Arabidopsis thaliana: one gene and its partners. The protein of the gene in region 2 interacts with the protein of the main gene of each other region in a pairwise test. Each region holds a gene or a part of one and is shown on either strand. Other genes may lie near its edges.

What was found. Proteins that work in one complex are often made in the same cells at the same time.
Region 1: the proteins of NAC001 (region 2) and AT2G32380 interact in a two-hybrid assay, tested with the Arabidopsis thaliana proteins (one large-scale study listed by BioGRID).
Region 3: the proteins of NAC001 (region 2) and AT1G12390 interact in a two-hybrid assay, tested with the Arabidopsis thaliana proteins (one large-scale study listed by BioGRID).

The regions. Positions count from the first base shown.
Region 1 is NC_003071.7:13,745,440-13,751,692, forward strand, and holds AT2G32380 (Transmembrane protein 97, Putative), read right to left. Parts: upstream 2,372-6,253; 5' UTR 2,292-2,371; coding exon 1,968-2,291; intron 1,536-1,967; coding exon 1,353-1,535; 3' UTR 1,127-1,352; downstream 1-1,126. Other genes in the region: HDG3 (homeodomain GLABROUS 3), read left to right, coding at 48-401; GLR3.5 (glutamate receptor 3.5), read right to left, coding at 3,029-3,505, 3,582-3,991, 4,112-4,143, 4,253-4,530, 4,613-5,964, 6,172-6,253.
Region 2 is NC_003070.9:651-8,942, reverse strand, and holds NAC001 (NAC domain containing protein 1), read right to left. Parts: upstream 5,313-8,292; 5' UTR 5,184-5,312; coding exon 5,030-5,183; intron 4,948-5,029; coding exon 4,667-4,947; intron 4,458-4,666; coding exon 4,338-4,457; intron 4,238-4,337; coding exon 3,848-4,237; intron 3,770-3,847; coding exon 3,617-3,769; intron 3,505-3,616; coding exon 3,313-3,504; 3' UTR 3,044-3,312; downstream 1-3,043. Other genes in the region: ARV1 family protein, read left to right, coding at 277-372, 479-526, 618-707, 956-1,001, 1,108-1,181, 1,294-1,379, 1,493-1,559, 1,711-1,786 and 1 more.
Region 3 is NC_003070.9:4,216,447-4,222,929, reverse strand, and holds AT1G12390 (Cornichon family protein), read right to left. Parts: upstream 2,887-6,483; 5' UTR 2,584-2,886; coding exon 2,512-2,583; intron 1,963-2,511; coding exon 1,781-1,962; intron 1,702-1,780; coding exon 1,579-1,701; intron 1,486-1,578; coding exon 1,449-1,485; 3' UTR 1,127-1,448; downstream 1-1,126. Other genes in the region: AT1G12400 (Nucleotide excision repair, TFIIH, subunit TTDA), read right to left, coding at 327-560; AT1G12380 (uncharacterized protein), read left to right, coding at 6,050-6,483.

The DNA.
Region 1 (6,253 bases), on a different chromosome or scaffold from region 2:
ATATATTATATCTTTTGGTCTGTGACTGATGTTATTATTGGTTACAGCATGGACACACTAGCAAGAGCAAGATGATGATAGTTCAAGAGACTTCTACTGACCCAACAGCTTCATTTGTGCTTTATGCGCCTGTTGATATGACATCAATGGATATTACTCTCCATGGAGGTGGTGATCCTGACTTTGTGGTGATCCTGCCTTCTGGTTTTGCTATTTTTCCAGATGGTACGGGTAAGCCTGGAGGAAAAGAAGGAGGATCACTTTTGACCATTTCCTTCCAAATGCTGGTTGAGTCAGGTCCTGAGGCTAGGCTGAGTGTTAGCTCTGTTGCAACTACTGAGAATCTGATTCGTACAACCGTGCGGAGGATCAAAGATTTGTTTCCTTGTCAGACTGCTTGAACCACCCCCATTTCGGTAATCTATTGGAGAGCTTCAAAAGGGGAGGAGTCAAGAACGAACCTCAAGGAGATTGGTTTTTTACGAGGTTCGGGATTTGACTAGCCCTGGAATAAACCCATTCAAGATGGAAAAAACAACTATCTTTTCCTTTCATTTGAGTCTTTTGTTTCCTTGTCATTGTTTGGACTTGGAACCTTTTGCTATTTCAGTTGAGTCTTTGGTTTCCTTGTCATTGTTGGACTTGGAACCTTTTGTTATTTCATTCGAGTCTTTGGTTTCCTTGTCATTGTTGGACTTGGAAACCTTTTGTTATTTCAGTTGAGTCTGTTTGTTTCCTTGTCATTGTTGGACATGGAACCTTTCGTTGTTTCAGTTGAGTCTGTTTGTTTCCTTGTCATTGTTGGACTTGGAAACCTTTATGAAGTTATTGAGTACTCTTTTTCTCTATTTGAGTTTCAAATTTGTTTTTTGTTTTCTTTCTATTGACTTTAGATCTTCTTCTAGAGTATGGATATTTCTTTTGTATTGTTTTTGTTGTCTATTTCTGTAGTTTGGTTTATCAAAACTTCACACCTTTTCTTCCCAAGACTCTCTGTTTTGCAAGAGAGCTTAAAGAGTTTTTGGCTGTTGCGCGTTGCCTATGGTTTTAGATTGACCAAACCCAACAAGACTAAGAAATCTGTGCTGAACATGTAGACCTTTTGGGAATGGGAATCACAACGTGTGATTTGTCAAGACCCAACAATGTAGACCTTTTGGTGAAGTGAACTGTAAAATATTTTCAGTTTAACTTCATTTAATTTCAAACAAGAACACAGATGACATGATATTGCTAAAAAAACAGGAAGAATACATCACAAAGGTTCAAAATTTTCTGTTTGAAAAGCCAAATCCACCTATAGCAGAAATTCTCAGAGTCAAAAGATACACTTGCTGATCATCAAGTGTACCTCAAGCACGCTTTCTCCTGGCCAAAATAGCAGGTCTCTTGCCAACAGCTCCACCACTTTTGTTGGATTGAGAAAGAAGACCACGAAGAAGAGCTAGAATACCAACACCCATGAATGGCACATACATCATCAACAATTTCTCAGATGCCTTCCCTGATCCTATCATCTCTCCCAGTATAGCAGCCTAATAAGTAATGAATACTCAATATCAGATTCTTCATCACAAGGCATATTAGCAATGAATGCGGAAAGATTCACATTGCAGAACAATAAGTATAAGTTCGATAACGTTACTAATTCTAATAACCATGAAACTAGTCATTCAACATAGTAGAAACTCAAAATCTCTCTCCCTCATCAACATACAATGTTGTGATTTTAGGGAACCAAATGAAATCTTGAATCAAGCATTATACAAATTTCACTAGTCTGCTCCTAGTTCATACTTTGTAATGGTCCAGTTTCACAGACTTTAACATTGATCACCAATAATCATTTCTCCTATAATCTTCATTAATCTCAGATTTCAGATCCATAAATCAACAAAATCTTACTCTAAATCAAACACGTTATATCCAAATTGATCAGAAACAGCGAGATTAAGATCTAAATGTACCATAGAAGTCACGACGGAAGCTCCGTACACCATTGAGGTGGTACCAAACCACGATTTCCCAGCGAGAATTGCGTAGACGTTGACGATTGAGAGCGGCCAAAGAAGCAAAAGCTCATGCCAGACGAGTCCGACTAGGAAATGCGGCTTCTCTTTGACTAGATAATCTCCAAATTCATCAATGTACCAGCGATTCAGATCGACGATAAACGCCGGGAAGATATCGCCGGGAAGACTCGTTTGACCGTCGATAAGCGGCGCAATTACCGCCATGAGAGCAAAGTATAAGAAGAGAACCGCATCGATCAACTTGCAAAATGCTCCCATTTTTTTTCTTCTTCTCCTTCTTCAATGGATTTTGTTTTTCTCTCTGCTTTAATCTGTCGTTGACCGCGGAAACGAAGAGCCGGCTACTTAATAATTGGCCAAATCTAAATTAAAGCGAACCGGTTTAAACGGCTACCATTTTTCCGGTTTGATTCAGTGGTAAATTCGAACACTACCGGGCCTTAGGCCCATAATCTTCCTCGGAGGATGTATATAGTATCCAGAAAAAATAGTCACCCGAAGGACTACACTAATTAAGAGAGCCCATGATCTGTTACAAAATCTTAAGTTCTAAACATTTGAATAAGTTTCACATCCTCTACATAGTCTAGAAAAATGTGAACTCTACGGTTCTAATAACTTTCGACTCTTGAATTTGCAGATGTTTTATTTTTTATTTTTCAGGGAGTCTAAAGACATGATCATTTCAAAATTCCTTATCTCTCACGCCTTGGAGGAATCATATTCGTAAACACACTTGCAAGTTACAACCTTGCATTGCCTTAAGCAAATTCTTTAGCAAGGTACATTTCTTAGTGTTACGTTTTAGATCTTTTAAAATGTTGAGACTACTTGGTATTGAAACCATGACTCAGTTCACTTGTTCGTCTTGCAAGATGGTAGGGAAATTGTTTTGCATTTTTATCTCTATCTATGTAATAAATCTATGTACCTTTCTAAGTGTAATGTTATATCTGCAGTCATTAAACAAATTGTGTAACTCGTTATTATATATCTCACTGTGGAGTTTCGTGATCTTTCGACTGCGAATTCTCAGCTGAACTTTGGCCATCTTTGAGTTTCTTACTGCTCTTCTCCTTAAGCATCTCCTTAATCTCTGCTTCTCTCTTATCAACAACTTTGATCAAATCCTTGAAACTCACTGCTCTCAAACTTTTCCCTCTAGAAGAACCAGCCTCCTCGCTCCTCGCCTGTACTTCATCACTCTCTTCTGGTCTTAACCGTTGGTATTGCCAGAAAACTTTCCAGCAGAAGAGTGTGAGTGCAATGAACCAAACGACGCCACATATTAGGAAGAGTCCCCAGAAACTCTGTACCGATATTTGATAGTTTTCTGTATCTGAAATCTGCATTGTACATTCGTGGTCGTAGGTAAGCCATTTCTTGCGGATTTTCTCGAGTTTTCCTTCTTCAGCCAGTTGCAGGATCGCTGTCGACATGTCCACAGCTAGAGGAGAGTCTCTCTGGAACGCCTGCAAGAATCGAGATCCATTAAGCAAAGTTTTAACAGAGACTGATCTTAAAAAATTGAAGTTGGTTTTCACATACAAATCCCCAGCCTGTCCGAGTGAATTCCTGTCCAACTGTTCGAAACTTGCAGTTGCTGTTTGACAAGAGAGCTTTAATGTAAGGAAGCTCGTCGACAATGGCTGCCACGCCACCGCCTCTGGGACCACGTTGAAGAGCAGAGAGATATTCTTCTTCGTCTTTAAGCGGAATGATTCTTGATGGAGCTATGTTAAGTTCATTGACCAGAAATTTCCACGCAAAGGTACCATCTTGGACTCCAATGGGTTCGTTGCTTGCTATTAAAGTGTCCATTCCTTCTATCCGAGATGTTAGCTGTTGAACGGTGAGGATTGAAGTGAGACTGGCTGTGTAGCTTGAGTTGATGATTAGAACCACAAATAACCATACGAGTAGCACAAACCTTCCCAACGTGCTCACCGTATTCTCCCCTGAAGATCAACAAAGGAAGAAGAATAAAACACCTTGCGACCTTGGTAACAAAAGAAAAGAACCGAGAGTTTCTTCTCTTTGATGTTTTCGTATGATCTTAAATGTAATTGTGTGCATACTGTGAGAGAAGAACATTGTTGAGAAGCTAAACCTGCAATATTGAAGACGAGAAAGGAAGGGGGTAAAGCAAAGCTTTAGCACTTGAGCTTAAACTAATACATATGAGTTTTGTGTCGATTCAATAATTGTATGGAACTAACCAGAAGACTGTAATGATTTGACGCCTAGGAGGTCCGCGGAATTCTTCGTTAAATCGATGTTCAAGAATCCAGATGACGGCTCCAACAAAGAGAAAAAGGGCACCGGTCACAGCCCACATCTCTATAGTGAATGGCTTCAAGAAGGACCAAGGACTAGACTTGGCCCCCTTCACTGGAGCTACCACCACAAGCCCTGATTCTATAAATGGCTGCGTGAAATCTACAAACTTGGTTCTGTTTGTAATGATGGTAACATCCCCAACAGCTACATCGAAAATCTAGAGACATAAATAGAACAAAACATAAGTATACTGTTTCGTGTAATTGATTGAGTAAAATAGAAGAAGAAGTAGGACTCACATTTGCAGCAACTTCACTTATGAGATTGTCATATGAAGGATTTTTCTTCCCGTCCCCATATAGTATATAAGTACGTGGAACGGGATATGGAAGCAATTGAATCGCAGCTTCAAAGATGTCGATGCAAAAGCCTTTAACACCAAGCGGGTTCTTGTCCTTAGAAGCATAGTTTTTGTAGCTTACACGGTTAGGCACCCCGATTTTCAGCGGCTTTCCATTTTCAGGGAAAACCCAACCCCGAGGTGGCTTTATTACTTCCCCTGGCCATATGATCTCATTAAGACGTTGGTCTTTTGCAGATGTGTTTGAAGGCTTAGAGTATAATGTCTCTGGAGGCGCGACTGAGAAACCTGTATGATTCGACCAGTATCCAACTCTCAGTGGACCTGTACTTTTTATGTTCAGAATGTCGTAGGCTGGATTAATCCGGTTTTTCTCTGAATTAAACTCGATTTGTCCAGTCAGACCTGTATAATTCATCTCAAGAATGACCTGCAAGAACCTCTCCCCTTCATTGAAAATGTGAAGTTTTGATAGCTTAATGCCGCTATCGTTGGTATTCCTCAGACTTGGATCATTAGAGAAAGTCACTGTATTGCCTTGGCTGAAGAAAACATCGAGAGCGCGAGCTACCAACCAAACAGAATCGTAAGCATACAGCGCGTAAGAATTGAAGCCATCATCACTTTTTAGACTCTCCTTGAATCTAAGGTTTTTCCATCTTCCTTTAAACTGTCTCTTGTTGTCACTCTCAGGTGTGTAATGACGAAATGCAACCACTCCTTGCAAGAGATCCAAAGCTCTGGGATCCAACGGTTCCATGGAATCCAAAGCTGTAAGAAGCCAATCAGTAGTGATCCAGACATAGCCACTTCCCATCATTCCAAGAGATTTGGCGACAGAGAATATGTTTAAACCCGAATCAGGATTCACATGAACAACAAAGATGCGAGATTCCATCAGATTAACAGAAGCCAATAAATCACTGATTGAGCTATTATCTGCACCAGGTGGAAATGCAGCCTTGTAAGAGATCTTGGCACGTTTCTTGGCTAAAGCATCACCTAATACAGATATTCCATTCCTACCATACTCATCATCCACAAAGATCGCAACAACTTCTCTCCATCGAAAATAGGATACAAAATCCGTGATTGCATTCATCTGGAAGTAATCATTCTGTGTGGTACGAAGGAAATAAGGGTATTGAAGCGAAGAAAGAGTCGGGTCCGTTGCTGCAAATGACAAGAAAGGTACATGAAGCTCATTAGCTACATGGGAGATTATGTGACCAATTCCTGAAGATTGTGGACCAATGGCTGCAACCACCTTGTTCTCCATTAGCTGCAAAGCTACACCATAAGAAAACATATCACCAATCTACTTCCTCATTCAGAAAAAGCAATCCATGCGCAAAACGAAGATTTTAACAAGAGGTTTATGAACAAGACAAGCTCTGCAATTTGAATAACCTCATTACTATTAAACCCCAGCTTCGTTGGGGCATTTTCACAAGCAACTTTTCAGACATAATTCAAATTGCAGTTTACGAAAAGTACCTCCCATGGTGCCAACAAATCCACTGCAATTAGTGTCCTGGAAGACAATATTAAGCTTGGTGCCCCTGAGGATACTCTGGTC
Region 2 (8,292 bases):
AACCTACGCATTTTAAAATGCTATGTCATATGGACAAGATTTTGATCCAAATTGAACTATTTATAAATTACAACGTGTATATGATTTTTAAATTTTGGGGTACAAATACCCCGGCTTAGAGCAAAAGTGGGCCTAACAAATTTAAAGTTAAGACTTCAAAAACTTGGCCCATGAATAAGCCCATTTAGGGTTAAAACAGTAGCCCAGACCCGGACTCTAATTGCTCCGTATTCTTCTTCTCTTGAGAGAGAGAGAGAGAGAGAGAGAGAGAGAGCAATGGCGGCGAGTGAACACAGATGCGTGGGATGTGGTTTTAGGGTAAAGTCATTGTTCATTCAATACTCTCCGGGTAACATTCGTCTCATGAAATGCGTAAGATTTTTGTATTAATGGATCTTCTTTGACCCAATTAGGGTTTATAAGATTCTCTATTAAATTTCTTCAAAGTTTCCATCTTTGATCATATTGTTATATTTAGGGAAATTGCAAGGAAGTAGCAGATGAGTACATCGAGTGTGAACGCATGGTCTGTTTTAATCACTTTCTTTCCCTTTTTGGGTGTTTCCCTATTTCTTTCCAATTTTGGTTTTTGGTTCTTTAATTGTTTTCTTTGGCAGATTATTTTCATCGATTTAATCCTTCACAGACCAAAGGTATATAGACACGTCCTCTACAATGCAATTAATCCAGCAACTGTCAATATTCAGGTAAAAAACTATTTCAATTCAAGTTCTTGATTTCAAGCATTGCTAGTTCCTGTCTGATTCTAGCTCTCTTATCTTGAATTGATATTACAAACTTGTGGAAATATCTGGCTTTGAAAATCTTTTTCCATATATAGAAGTATCTTAGACCTCAAGCAACAAACTAATTTCCAAGTTTGGGGATATTGAGTAGTCTCTGATCCAATAAGAATTGTTGGGTTCTTTTTTTTTTTTTGTGTGTGTGTGTGCAGCATCTGTTGTGGAAGTTGGTCTTCGCCTATCTTCTTCTAGACTGTTGTATCCTTTTGTTTTATAATCTTTTACTATCAAAGTGTAGCTAGCAGATGTGTAGTTGGTGAGATTCATCGGCAAACTTATTTGAAAAGCCCTGAACTCATCATAGATAGAAGCTTGCTACTGAGAAAAAGTGATGAAGAATCGAGCTTTTCTGATAGCCCTGTTCTTCTATCTATAAAGGTTAGATCGTTTCTTTTTAATGGACTTAATTAGATTTTTTTTCCTTTAAGGTTTAAATGATTTAAGTCATTGAGATTGTTTAGAAAGGGTAATAATTTCGCATTTGAAACAGGTTCTGATTGGTGTCTTATCTGCAAACGCTGCATTTATCATCTCTTTTGCCATTGCGACTAAGGGTTTGCTAAATGAAGTTTCCAGGTGATTACTGATTCTTCTTCTTCTTAGTTCTTATTATGAGTTTTTCATCAAAGATCTCAGACTTCTGTCACCTGAAGATTGTTTATGTATAATTTTTTTTAAAAACTTTGCAGAAGAAGAGAGATTATGTTGGGGATATTCATCTCTAGTTACTTCAAGATATTTCTGCTTGCGATGTTGGTATGTTGTAGCTTTACCTCTCACTTAATTCCTAATATTGAAGTTCCAAACTTCTTAAGCATTCCATAAATCATGCACTAAAGTTTCTTGTATTGATTAAACATGGTGTTATGTCTCTTTGCTCAAAAATAGAGAATCTTTGTTATTACAGGTATGGGAATTCCCAATGTCAGTGATTTTTTTTGTCGATATACTTCTCTTAACATCAAACTCCATGGCTCTTAAAGGTCAGACCTTCAAAATGTTCTCAATGCAAATTGTTTTTTGTTGTTGTTATTTTGGAATCTCACAATGCAAGTTTGTCTTTAAACCAGTGATGACTGAATCAACAATGACCAGATGCATAGCCGTATGCTTAATCGCGCACTTGATTAGATTCTTGGTGGGTCAGATTTTTGAGCCGACAATATTTTTGATACAAATTGGATCTCTGTTGCAATATATGTCTTATTTTTTCAGAATCGTATGATCCCATCAGCTTCCAGTATAGTCTTTTGGTTTGAAGATAAGAGAAACCTTTACATTATTATACCATACTGTATTTTATGACTAAGCCAAATATTATCGCCACCAAAAATTGAATTAGACCTTACTAAAATATCAAAAGTTAATTGTTGGTCTGTTACTCTGTGCGGGCGGATATAACTCAACCACCTACAATTATTTGCCCTACAAAAACCTTGTTCCTCACGATATCGTCGCTCCATCTTTCTTGGAATGCTGGGCATATGTGGTGGTACCCTCCTTGGAATGGTGGGCATATGTGGAACCCTCCTATGAATGTTGGAGATATGTGGGACTCTCCTATGAATGTGGGGCATCAACACATTGTTGCAACACCAAGTGAATGTCATAGGAAAGACGAGGAGACGGTTGAAGCCGAAGTTGAGGCTCCCCTTGATTCTTATCCGGAGAATGCTACTACCATGGCGAGAAAGCAACCAAAGGCAAGTTAAATATCTGAAAATGTTGAGAATTCTGATGATAACTAAAGCATTGAAACGAATATTGGGTTAACTTAATAATACTTATGCTTATTTTCAAGTCTCGTTTTGTTTTAATTGACTACACTATACTTCTTAGATCCGTTATGTATATATAATTTGACCTCTTGAACCAGAATGATCCAGCCAATGATGGAGATGAACAATAAGAAGCCAATGATCATGTTCTTGAGATAGTTCCACTGTGAATTCCTTTGACTCATCTCCTCTAAAACAATCCAGTTATGATGCTTAGTTGGAGCTTTCTTCTTCAGCCATTTTCCATTCCCACCCGTTTTTCTATAGACATATCACCTGCAACCCCAAGTCCATCATAATCCACAGTTGAAGATGTATTGTTTGAGATTTTGTATCGAAGTCATGTTACGCAGTGACATTGTTAACACCTTTTCATTTCCTTGCAAATGCAACTTTGGTTGCTAAATGAATCTTTGAGCCAACACCCTTTACTCATATTTGGGTCTCATGTAAAATCCCTTTCTTATACAAGACTATATATCACTTTATTTATATAAACTACACCACAAAACGATGCACTAATTATTATTACATATACTTTTTTCCAATTCATATATATGATTTTCTGCATTTTTCTTCTCTCTTCTTTCCCCCTTTTTCTCTTCTTTACATACTAATAAAATATAACTTCAAACTTTTCCGGAGCGAGAAAACAGAGCAAAGAAAAAAAAACAAAAAAAAACACACATTCTAAGAAATACAAATTTTGAGCAAGAATCCGATTTGACCTCTTAACCAACAAGAATGATCCAACTAATGACGGAGATGAACAACAAGACACCAATGATCATGTTCTTGAGATAGTTCCACTGTGCATTCTCCAAAACAATCCAGCTCTGCTTCACCGTGTTGGTGGATGGAGGTATCTTGATCGAGTCTTCAGCCATTTTCCACTCGCATTCGCTTTTCTGCGAACTTATCACCTGAAAGCAGACCCATAGCTCATAATTTAGAGGTCATTTGACTAAATCTTTTTGATGAAATGTTGATTCAGATTTCGTATCAAAGTCATGTTTCTCAGTGAGAGTGTTAAACCTTTTCTTTGCTCTGCTGCTTTGGTTGCTCTTGTGCCTTATAATTGTGCAAAGGCTCAATAATGTTCAATGATGGAATATCATCTATACGAGTATGGCCCGGTTCATCTGAACTACCAACACTATCAGTGGAGCTCGAAGTGTCTTCGAAAATCTGTTAAAAGCCAAAATTCAGCGTGTGAGATATAGAAGCGATATAGGTTGTGATTATATATGAGTAAAAAAAGCTTACCATTGATCCAGTTTCAGTATCACTGCTATCATCAGGCAAAACCCCAGACACAGGTTTTTTGGGCCGGTGATCACTGTAATGCTGTTGCATAGATGTCCTTTCATCTACCAAAAACTCAAAATTTTCTTCAATCACATGCTTCCAAATCATCTCCGACTCATTTTCATAAGGTGCCAAGTAAGGAACTTGCTGTTGCAGGTCGATATAGTCACTCAGCCACTGACCGCCGTGATTTGCAAAATCATACTCAAGGAGAGGGTTGAATGATCCTTGAAGTGGTTGCTGCTGCATAATGTTAGAGTTTTCATTAAACTGCTGGCCATGATTTGCTGAATCATACTCAGAGTAAGTGTTGTAAGATCCTGAATTTCGTTGACGTGATTGGTTGACCTGAAACGAATCAACAGTTTAGGAAAACATCAAATCAGTAGACACAAGCTCTTTTTTGATCTGCCTACTCAAAGCTAAGTGTATATGGAGAAAGACTCACCACAGAACCTGCACTACTAGTCATATTGGGGACAAAAGCGGGAGTGGGATCTATTGCATAAGCAGATAGAATGTCCGCATCATCACCCTTGTACTCAAGTCTGCAGATGACATATGTCCTCTGTAAAATTTCCGGAGGTAAGCACATAAGTTCATCAGTATAAAACATTGGTGAGAGTAAGCTAAGCCTAAAATAGCTGCTGAACCTAAATAGAGTTACATTACATAGTTTCTAATTTGCATAACTCAAATTCTAACTATGAATCAGCAGAAACCACATATATATATATCCACATATATATATATATATATATATGAATAGAAGAAAACCTGATGTTCTGGTAAGAGGTCGTAGTGGAACTCGTGGATAACCCAATCAGATTTGGTTTTGTCAGGGTATCTTCCATCGAGGAACACCAAAACCCTTTTATGACCAATCTTACCACGAAAGCCCTCACTACAAAATCCCCACTGGTCCTTGACCTCAACAGATTCTCCGGTAAGCTTCCATTTACCAGAAACCGTTGTCCTGCTCTGTCGATTCCCTTTGTTGTTTTCTCTACGAGAGAAGAAGTACCACATAGCATCTCTCGATTTGTACTTTGACTGGACTGTTCAAAACAAAAAAAAACCCTAAAATCAAAAACCTAAATCGATTACTTGCAAATGAAATTCAGAAAATTCGGAACTTACAGCGCAAGTTCCAAGGATCGTAGCTACAGATGTTGACCTCGCTGATGGCTACTTCAACGTCGCGGCTAGTGTTTCCTTCGATTTTGTTACGGAGATAGTGACCAACGAGCTCCTCGTCGTTCGGACGGAACCCAAACCCAACTTGATCCTCCATTTTCACTAAACCGTCCGATTTCAATGGTTTCCGGGTAAAGAGCTTCGCCGTCGATCTCTCTCGCTCTCTGTAATCTGTATTTCTCCGATTATGTATTTGTTTTCTCTGGTTTGGTATATCTAATAATTTGGAGGGAGGAAGACAGTGAAGTCAGCGTTTAAATAAGACAATTTATTCCTTTTATTTTTATTTTCTTAATTAAATTAATATGGATCTCCGGTTTAATTGGTATGGTTTTACCGGTCCTAACAATTTTAAAGATTATTAAAACAATTGATGGTATGAAATTTCATGTAGTAAACCGAGTAGTATTAACTATTAAGATTTATTAGTCTTAATCATATTATTTTTTACTTATGATGGTTTAGAATTTTAATCAATGTAAGTAAACAGAGTTCAGATTTAAACCAATTTAACAATTAAAAAAGATTTAATAATAAATTTTATAAAATCGGTTTGGGTGAACCGTGGATTGAATATCATCCTCTGTAGAAATTTGTATTCCCCTTTTAGTATTATAATAGAAGAACATATAAAATTTAAATAAATATAAATTAAGCCTTATAAAGGAAGGCTGGGAAGCTGCTGGGCGGTAATAATGGGTCCCTCCCAAAGCAAAACAAAGGAGAGCAACTCGAATCTGTCTTCTAGATTATGTGTGTGAACACGCCAAATATTTTCATCTCATTCGTTTTTTAACATTAATAAGAGTGTGCTTATTTTTAATCTTGAATCCTATCGATATGTTGTTAAATCCATCTAGAAGGTTGACTTTTTGAATCGCTGGCTAATTGTTAGCTTTTAATTTTGACCATGTTGTTTTGCTTGTCGCAAATGGTTCGTGGGGTTGCATTTTATCATGGAACAATGTATGTGTCTTACGAACTCATAACGATTGAGCCGTTTTCCAAACCGAACAAAATAATAACGTAACATCTTTAAAAGCATCCACGCCAGTAGATAACATACACATAGTAGGAAGTAGGTGATTAGAAAACTCTAATATCCCTAGAAAATTAGTACTAGTGTGGGATGCATGCAATTATCTAGTGGCTCTCATTAGTCACTAACGTGTGGTAGGTTCAAGTCTTCCTAAGTGAAGTTTTAATATTGGCAGAAATAGCAATATCTTTTAACAAACAAATAAAACCAGCATTATATCTCTGCCTACCTTTTCTTTCTACTTTTTTCTTTTGTCTTTTGGGGGTTTAGATAATAGATTGTTTCTACTTTTTGGATTTATCATGGTCGTTGGTATGCTTGTGAGTTGTGACTAGAAACGTTATGACATGCCTTCATAACAAGCCAAAATTTAAGGTAACGAAAGCGATATGTTGATGTATGGATTTCTTATTTTTCGCCACAACTAAAAAACATGGCTTTGGTGAAGAGAGGAAAAAATAATATAGGTTTAAAGATAGGATATATAGCTGTAGATATAGCTAAGATGATGAAAAAGGAACGACATTCTAAAAACAAAATCTACAAGGAGATTTGATTTCGTATCTCCAAATGACTTAAACAACATTCATGACCAAAATTTTCTTTTACTTTTGAATTTATGCGTATTATAAATTTAGAAGATAGCTCTTACCAAAACATAAAAGAGAACAAGTGGTTTGAAATGTTGACCAATATATGGGACTTTCATTGCAAGAAAGATGATAGTGAAAAAAATTAAAATAAAAATATAATAGGAGTCAAACATAATGAGGGGAATAATACTTTTGTTGTCGCTGGTTTGATATCACATGAAACATTTTACTATGAATACATGGTTAATATTTTTTATGCTGAGTAAATAAATATAAGTATCGAAATAGCATATATGTATATGGGGTTTTTGGAAGATTTTAGTGTCCAGACACTGAATTATTCTTTTAACAAAGTGAGTGACCAAAACTTAGAATTAGATTAAAACCCTGTAAAATATTGTTTTAAAAACTGTCTTTGATCCCTTCTTGTCATTGTTGGCATTCTCGTACCTATTTCCAAATTCATTCATGCATTTGGACAAATGATGATGTATGATATGGTCCATATCATATGGAGATAGATGTGGATGGAAGAACACATTATAAAAACAAAATCTTAAAGGAGATTTGATTTCGTATCTCCAAATGACGGAACCTTGGCCACATTCAGGACCAAAACTTCATTCACATCTTCCATATACAGTAATTAGAAGATTACCCAAACAAAAGTAAGAACATGACACGTGCTTTCACATGTTGACCAATTGGGGACTTCCCTTGTAAGAAAAGATTTTACTCATATACAATGAGAAGTCAAACTTCATTCACATCTTCCATAACATAACGACACTGACTCTTTACCTAATTTTTCTATGATCATTGAATCAAAGGTTCCTCTAATTCAACATCTCATTTATATAATCTAGATAGATAGAAAAAAAGTAAGTGAGAAGAAATCTCGGGATCTTTGGTGTTTCTCTGACCATTTTATAAGAATGTATTACTTATAAATTTATGAAAGAAAAATCAAGCAGATGTGATTCATGGAGGAATCACAGAACTATCATTAATAATTACAACTTTTTTCAGTATGTCTCAAAAAGAAAAAGAAAAATAAAGAGAGTAAAAAACTCTTAACCATAAACTTATTTATTTGATTAAATTATATAAAATTGACTTCTCAATTTGGGGGGTGGGGGGGGGGGGGGGAGGTGGGGGGTGTTGCCACTTTCTGCTTCACAAGTTCTTAAGTCATAAGTGGAAAACTTCTAATAATTTATAACCAATTGTTGACATATACTTTTGCTTTTAGAAAGCATATGATTGTGGGAATAACGGGTATATGAGTTGATTTACAGATTTTATGTGTAAACGTGTGTCGATCATAATTTTATTTTAAATTATGAGTTGTATATGAGTTGACTTACAGATTACCTAATATCTACGACAAAGGTAAAATGGATAATTAATCAGGCGGAAGAACTTTGCAGTACCGAGAAGTCTTGAATCATCCAAATCACTCTAAAAAAAGAGGAATTTTGCAAAGAGAAACTACTTCAAAGAAGCAAAACAAACATCTAAAAATACTTTTTTGAGTGCCAAAATGTGTGCTACAAGGATAGAAATAGAGCATC
Region 3 (6,483 bases), 4.2 Mb from region 2:
AGTTTCTGATTTTACTTGGTTCATCCTTCATGAGTAAAATGAAATTTGGAACTTCCGAATTCTTTAATCTGTTTATTATCTACTACAAGTAATTGAACAATAACCAAACAAACGTGTTTATTCAACAAAAGAGTGACAAAGTAATCAACACAACCAGAGAAAACCGACTGATACTAAACCGGTACAGAGAGATTATTTGTCAACAAAGTTCACTTTAACTCTATTAAAGCATGAGCCATATCAACCAATCTCACGATCTCAATGAAGTTTTTATTCATTTGAATCAAATGAAAGAAAAACAAGAAGCAAGTGTGATGTGATGTGATCTAAGAAGTGGGCTTCTCGTAAGAGTTTTGATCTCTAAAATCAGAAATGGCGCTGCGGATCATCTGCTCTACATGTGGTTGCACGAACAAGTGAGTACTATCAAGTACATGAATTATGAATTTCTGAGACGGAGGCATCGAATTGTTCATGTTCACTATGAATTGTGTCATCGGAATATCGCTGCAAACAAACAAAAGATACAAAGAAACAATGAATGATTCAATTGTGTTCATCAAGATTTGCTTAGGAATCGTAACAACGGTAAGAAGTACCAAGAGACGAACACTCCTTTGATTGCATTAACCATAAGTAAAACCTGTAATACAAAACACGAATAATCTGAGCTCAATTTTCATCAAAAGATGACCCAAGAACATCCTCGATAACTCAGAACATAGATGAATGAAAGATTAATCCTTTGTTTCAATTCAAGGACCCCAAATTACTAGATGCAACGATTACATAACTGGGGTTTCGCTACCTAAACACCACAACATAAACTCGATTCCCAAATCTTAAGACTTTAACGATTACAGACCAAATAGAAATAGGATGAAACCAGATCAATTTGGTCTAGAGATCAACCACACACCTGTGAAACCACACGAAGAAGATTGGAGGAATCAATCAAGAGGGTAAGCGATGTTTGAGGCAGAGAAAGAAATCACCTTGATAACGACGATTATTGTCACAGTAAAGGAGAGAAGGATTAGCTTTATAAGATAACCTAATTACAAAACTGAAACAGAAGGTTCGGATCATCTTTTAAGTTATCGTTTATTACATCACTCAAAAGGGTTTCTCACTTTTAAAAGTCAAAGTTCACATGAATTAACTTTTTTTCTTCTTATATTTGAAATTATTCAGTTTCATTGTTACTGTAACCAGTAGTTTACGAGCTTGATTGCTTGTACAAATAATGATCAAGACATAAAAAAAACAGTTAATCTGAACATGTTTCTAAGAAAGAAATAAATACACAAATCTTCCTGCCACTAATCTTACAAACATCACAAAGCAAACACTTTTCCTTGCTTTTTTTCATGTCCACAAGCATGTCGCTGTATCTTTAAGCGTAGTGTCAATAAACCGAAGAAGATGGACCATGTCTTCTTCATTAGTCAGTCCTCGTAATCATCCAGCGCCGAATAAATCATCCTACGAAAAAAAGTTGCAAACAGAAAGTGTTTTAGCTCTCTTGATCTACTTATGGTTAAGCAATAATGGGATTCGAAATATCTTTCTCGTTACCAGAAGATAGTGAGAAAGAGGTTAAGGACAATGTAAGCAAGCTTGAACAGCCGTTTCTTCTTTTCCCAGTTAAGCAAATTGAAGATCTCGGTGACATCTACTAAGTGTTGTCGCTTCGAGTAACTGAACAACGGAGAAACCGAAAGGATATCAATACCACAACATTTGATTGGAGCAAAAGATTGAGATTAGTTGGACTTACAGATGGAAGTTGTAGTATAGATAGGGGAGACATAAGAGTGTCATGAACCAGTGTCCTGTTAGGAGGTAGAATACGCATAGAACTCCTTGAACAATGAACTCCGGTAAAACCACTGAGTTTATTCTCGACGCAGAGTCGTAAGGGTTGATGTAATCAAACTCGAGATCCGCTAAGCAAACAAGCTGCAAATGAAAGAATTCAAATTCAGAAAAGAGAAGTTAGCTTCCTAGAAAATGTCTTCCCAAGCTGTTTATACATGGAAGATTCCGTTTGCTAGCTTATCAGTCTCAGTGACTCCTCTCATTAGAGTCTACACAAACAAAACTAAAGGGTTCACTTCATTATGCCGAAATGGAGCTCATTTATAAAAGAACAACCTGTGCTTAAGGAGGTAAATCCTCAGACCTGACATGAACATCCAACATAAGAACTAACTATGAACCTATAAAAGTGTTTTGAGAAGCCAATACGCACTATATATGTTCCTGAATTTACTCCTTTGATGATAACATTCCCAAAAATTACACCTTTACTTCTTCCAAACATGTGACAAGAACATAAAACCCTAATTCTAGCTAAATCACAGACTACCCAGAAACAAAAAAAAGGCTCCAAATGAATCAAAATGGACAAATATGGTATCATTATAACCGTAAGCGAAAAAATTGGCAAATTCCGATAGAAAAGTTAAGAACTTTGGGTTTATTTATCCTAGAAATTGGGAATCGCACCTGATAGACGATGATTCCGACAAGAGCGATGAGGAAGAAGAAGGAAATAAGCCATGTCCAGATATCTCCCATCTTCCTCCTTTTGGTTCCGACAATTTCCTCGGATCTATCCTCGTTGTTTCTTGGTCTTCTCTCTCTCTCTCTCTCCTCCCAATAATGTTCGATGAGGAACAGAGAGAAAGTTAGGACAACGACTTAGTGGTCGGCTAGTTTTGACAGTTGAGCTCGAGATTCTGATCGGAAACAAAGAAGCCTAGAGAAGGCAGGCACGAGACTCAGCTTCCGGTTCAGTTTCCGGTTAAAATCGAATTCGTTATTTCCCGAAGTACGTACCATTTACGCCGGTTTAATATTTCAGTATTATGAATCTATGATTTATAAGCCATTGGGCCTCTATAGATTTAGCCCAATTAAATAGTAAACAGTTTGGGTTTGGGCACGAGAGCCGTGTAATTTTTGTTGAGTCGTGTATAATTTTTTTTAGGTCATTGTCTTATTGTATAGTTTTAAGGAAATCAAAAATGAAAAATTAAAAACAAAAATGGTACCAGAAACCATTCAATCATGTGATTGAGAAAAGCCAGCTGTTTTCTAGTACGAAGAAAAACAAGCTTCATCTTTTCCATGTATTTTTCTTTCTTTCTTTTCTCAAGAACGGTGAATCCATAACTTATAATTGCAAGGATTAAGAGATTGAGATTATGAAGGATAGCATTTTGGAATTGTAATATGGTTTAGCTTAGTCGGATTTTCCTCACTAATTATAGATTCTGGCCTCTCTAGTGTGGTTCAATTAAGTTGTAAAATAAAGAAGCTATGTTAGTAACTAAATCCATCCAAGTTCAATAATCAAATAATTACTATCGCTATCAATGTAAAAGGTGGCATTATTTTTATTTCAACTATTATTATTTCTTACATGGTATATATATATTTATTTCGGGTATAACACGATATAGTGGAGTGGTTGGGAAAAGAAGTTCTCGTACAAGATTGTAAATCAAGCAATTTACGTTTGATACAGTAATAATCAATATCAGTATTTTTTTAACTGAAAGGATTGGCTCTTCGTTTTCACTAACTGGAAAATGAAGATTCAAATTTATAACATACCTATTTTCTGTCAACAGTTACTTATTTTTAGTTAATATATGCATTTAGGGACCAATCTTGAAATCTCATTCCACGTATGAAAAGTATCATGCAAAAAAGTATATATCAATTCTAAACATTTTATTTTCAAATTTCATTCACAAAATCAGCATTATTTTATTTAAGTGGAGATTAACGTAAGAAGTTACTTTGATATATTGTTACATTGTTTACATTGTAGACACCTTAAGTTAATAAAACGTATGACAAAGTGATGTTATTAATAGTTCTCATCACTATATTGCAAACGTCGTTTATCAAAAAATAAAATTAGAGGGCATAATCCATGGTTTTTGGGTGGTTGGTATGTAACAGACAAGATCATTCTTATAGATAGTACTATCCATCTTTTTAAGATAGGACTGCTCTAAATTATGTGGTAAGAAATTAATTTTCTGCCTTTTTATTATATAGATACAGTTATGGGTGGATTTTGTATATTAGACTTTAGAATTCATTGATCATTCATACATATAAGCATGCATACATGATACTTCTACATTAGAAGGTGGGAGACAGTTGTGACATGGATTTTATGACATTAGATATTGACCAATTAAAACTTGACTCCTACTAACCTCCACTTATAACTTTAATTATACGTTTTACTAAGAGAGATTTACAAGTTCAAGTTCAAGACACTTTTTGCATTGGAATAAGAGTAGAAAATCAAGGGTAAAATATAGAAAGACTTATGTGTGTGTGTGTGTATGTGTGTGTGTGACACATAAGAAATAGTCTTTGTTGTGGTTAATTAGCTGGAATAGTTGATCAAGAAAATGTGTTTTTAATATTCATTAGTATGAGTTTGTTCGCATTGATATGGTTTTATAGGTTGTATTAAATTATTCATAGATCAACGACATACTAAAGTAAAATTCTAAGTTTTTGGCTATGAGTGAAAAGCATGTGTACTTTGTTGGACTGCTACAGATTGGTTGGTATTTAGCTAAATGTGTCCATTGGCCAGTAATTTTATTTAGGTAAATATTGGTCCTCAGTCATAATTTTATTTAGTGTGTGTTCATGTTTTTTTGGGTTTTTACTTTTAACTAAAAAGAGGTAGAAGTTGTGAAGAGTACAAAGGATGTTGTTATTCATGAATCATGACTTCAAACTTCTAACGACGGCCAAGACACACATGATTCATGAACATTCATACAAAGCAAATGAAAGCAAAATTGCTATTGAGATTAACAAAAAGTAAAAAAATGGTTGGAATTAGTAGGAACCAAAAGTGTCGGTAAAAAAATGGAAGTTGTAAAAGGTTGCAGTCAAAAATAAACAACTTTCAACACAAACCAAAAAAAAATATTTACAAAGAAATGTACTTTATGAGTCAACAGAAAATGGTCAACACAACACAGTCTCTGCGTTAATGTCTTTCATTGTCTATCTAGAAACAAAAATTAAATTCTCACTCTACCCTTTTATGCCCAAATTCTGAACTCATCCCACGTAGACAATAGGACACAAATGGAAATCCCACTCACCCATTTTTTTCATTTTTGTAATCAAATCCAAAAAAAATGTTCAAAAAGTGTCTTCAACGTTCACATAATCTCTAACTAAATTCACAATAAGGATTCTATAAACCGAATTAATCATTTAGATTTTTTTAAAAACTCAGCCTATGTTAATAATTCTTTTTTTACCAAAACTTAGAGCCTTCAAAATTCTCAAGATCCCAATTTTGTTTTTTTATCCGTTCAACTGAAGTTACGAAAGTACATTACCATTGGTGGTTGAAACTGTATAGCACAAGAAAAACATTTATAAAGATTAAGAAGAGAAAAAATCTAAATAAAATGCATTAAATTAAGGTCCCAAATAGTTCCAATTTTTTTTTCTTTTAAATATTAAAGTAGGAGACAAGAAAAGAGATTTTCGAAAGAAAAAAAGAAACAAAAGTTGAAAGAAAAAAAACACACATAACAAAAACAATCCCCCAAAACCAACTTAAAGCGCGTGACTAAAACGCTCCAATGATGAGAAAGCGAGATAGACTACGAGCCAATGTAACGTTTGTGTTCTCGTACGACGTGGGACTCTCTTCTTTCACCTCCATGCGCGTGTGCTTCAACCTCCTCTGTAACTCTCTCTCTTTCTTCCATATTTCTCTCCTCTTCTTCTCCGCTCTGTCTCTTTCTTCGAAAAAACCATTCACAGTCAAGAACAAGAGCTCACTAGAAAGAAAAAAAACTAAAGAAGTGAGTAAAAATTTCATTTCTTCTGATCGCCGGAAAATGGCAGCGACGTTAAAGATCGTCGTCTTCCGGCGAAATCCTACTGCTGAAGAATGTCACACGTAAAATCCAACTCTCGCTTAAAACCCTTTTAGCAAGAGCCTCGAAATTTCCGATTTAGAAACTTTTTTTCTTTCTTGATGGCGACGACTAACGCTCACACGGCGACTCAACAGACACCACCACCACCACCTCCTCCTCCTCCAGCTCCTGCTCCTCCGGCGATGGATGGGTTAACAACAGACGAGCTAACAGCAAAAGCATTAAACAAGAGATACGAAGGTTTAATGACGGTGAGAACAAAAGCAGTGAAAGGTAAAGGCGCGTGGTATTGGACTCATCTTGAACCAATCCTCGTACGCAACACCGACACTGGTCTCCCTAAAGCCGTGAAGCTTCGTTGTTCTTTATGCGACGCCGTTTTCTCCGCCTCTAATCCTTCACGCACTGCCTCTGAGCATCTCAAACGCGGCACGTGTCCTAATTTCAACTCTGTTACTCCCATTTCCACCATCACTCCTTCTCCTACCTCTTCCTCTTCCTCTCCTCAAACTCATCACCGGAAACGTAACTC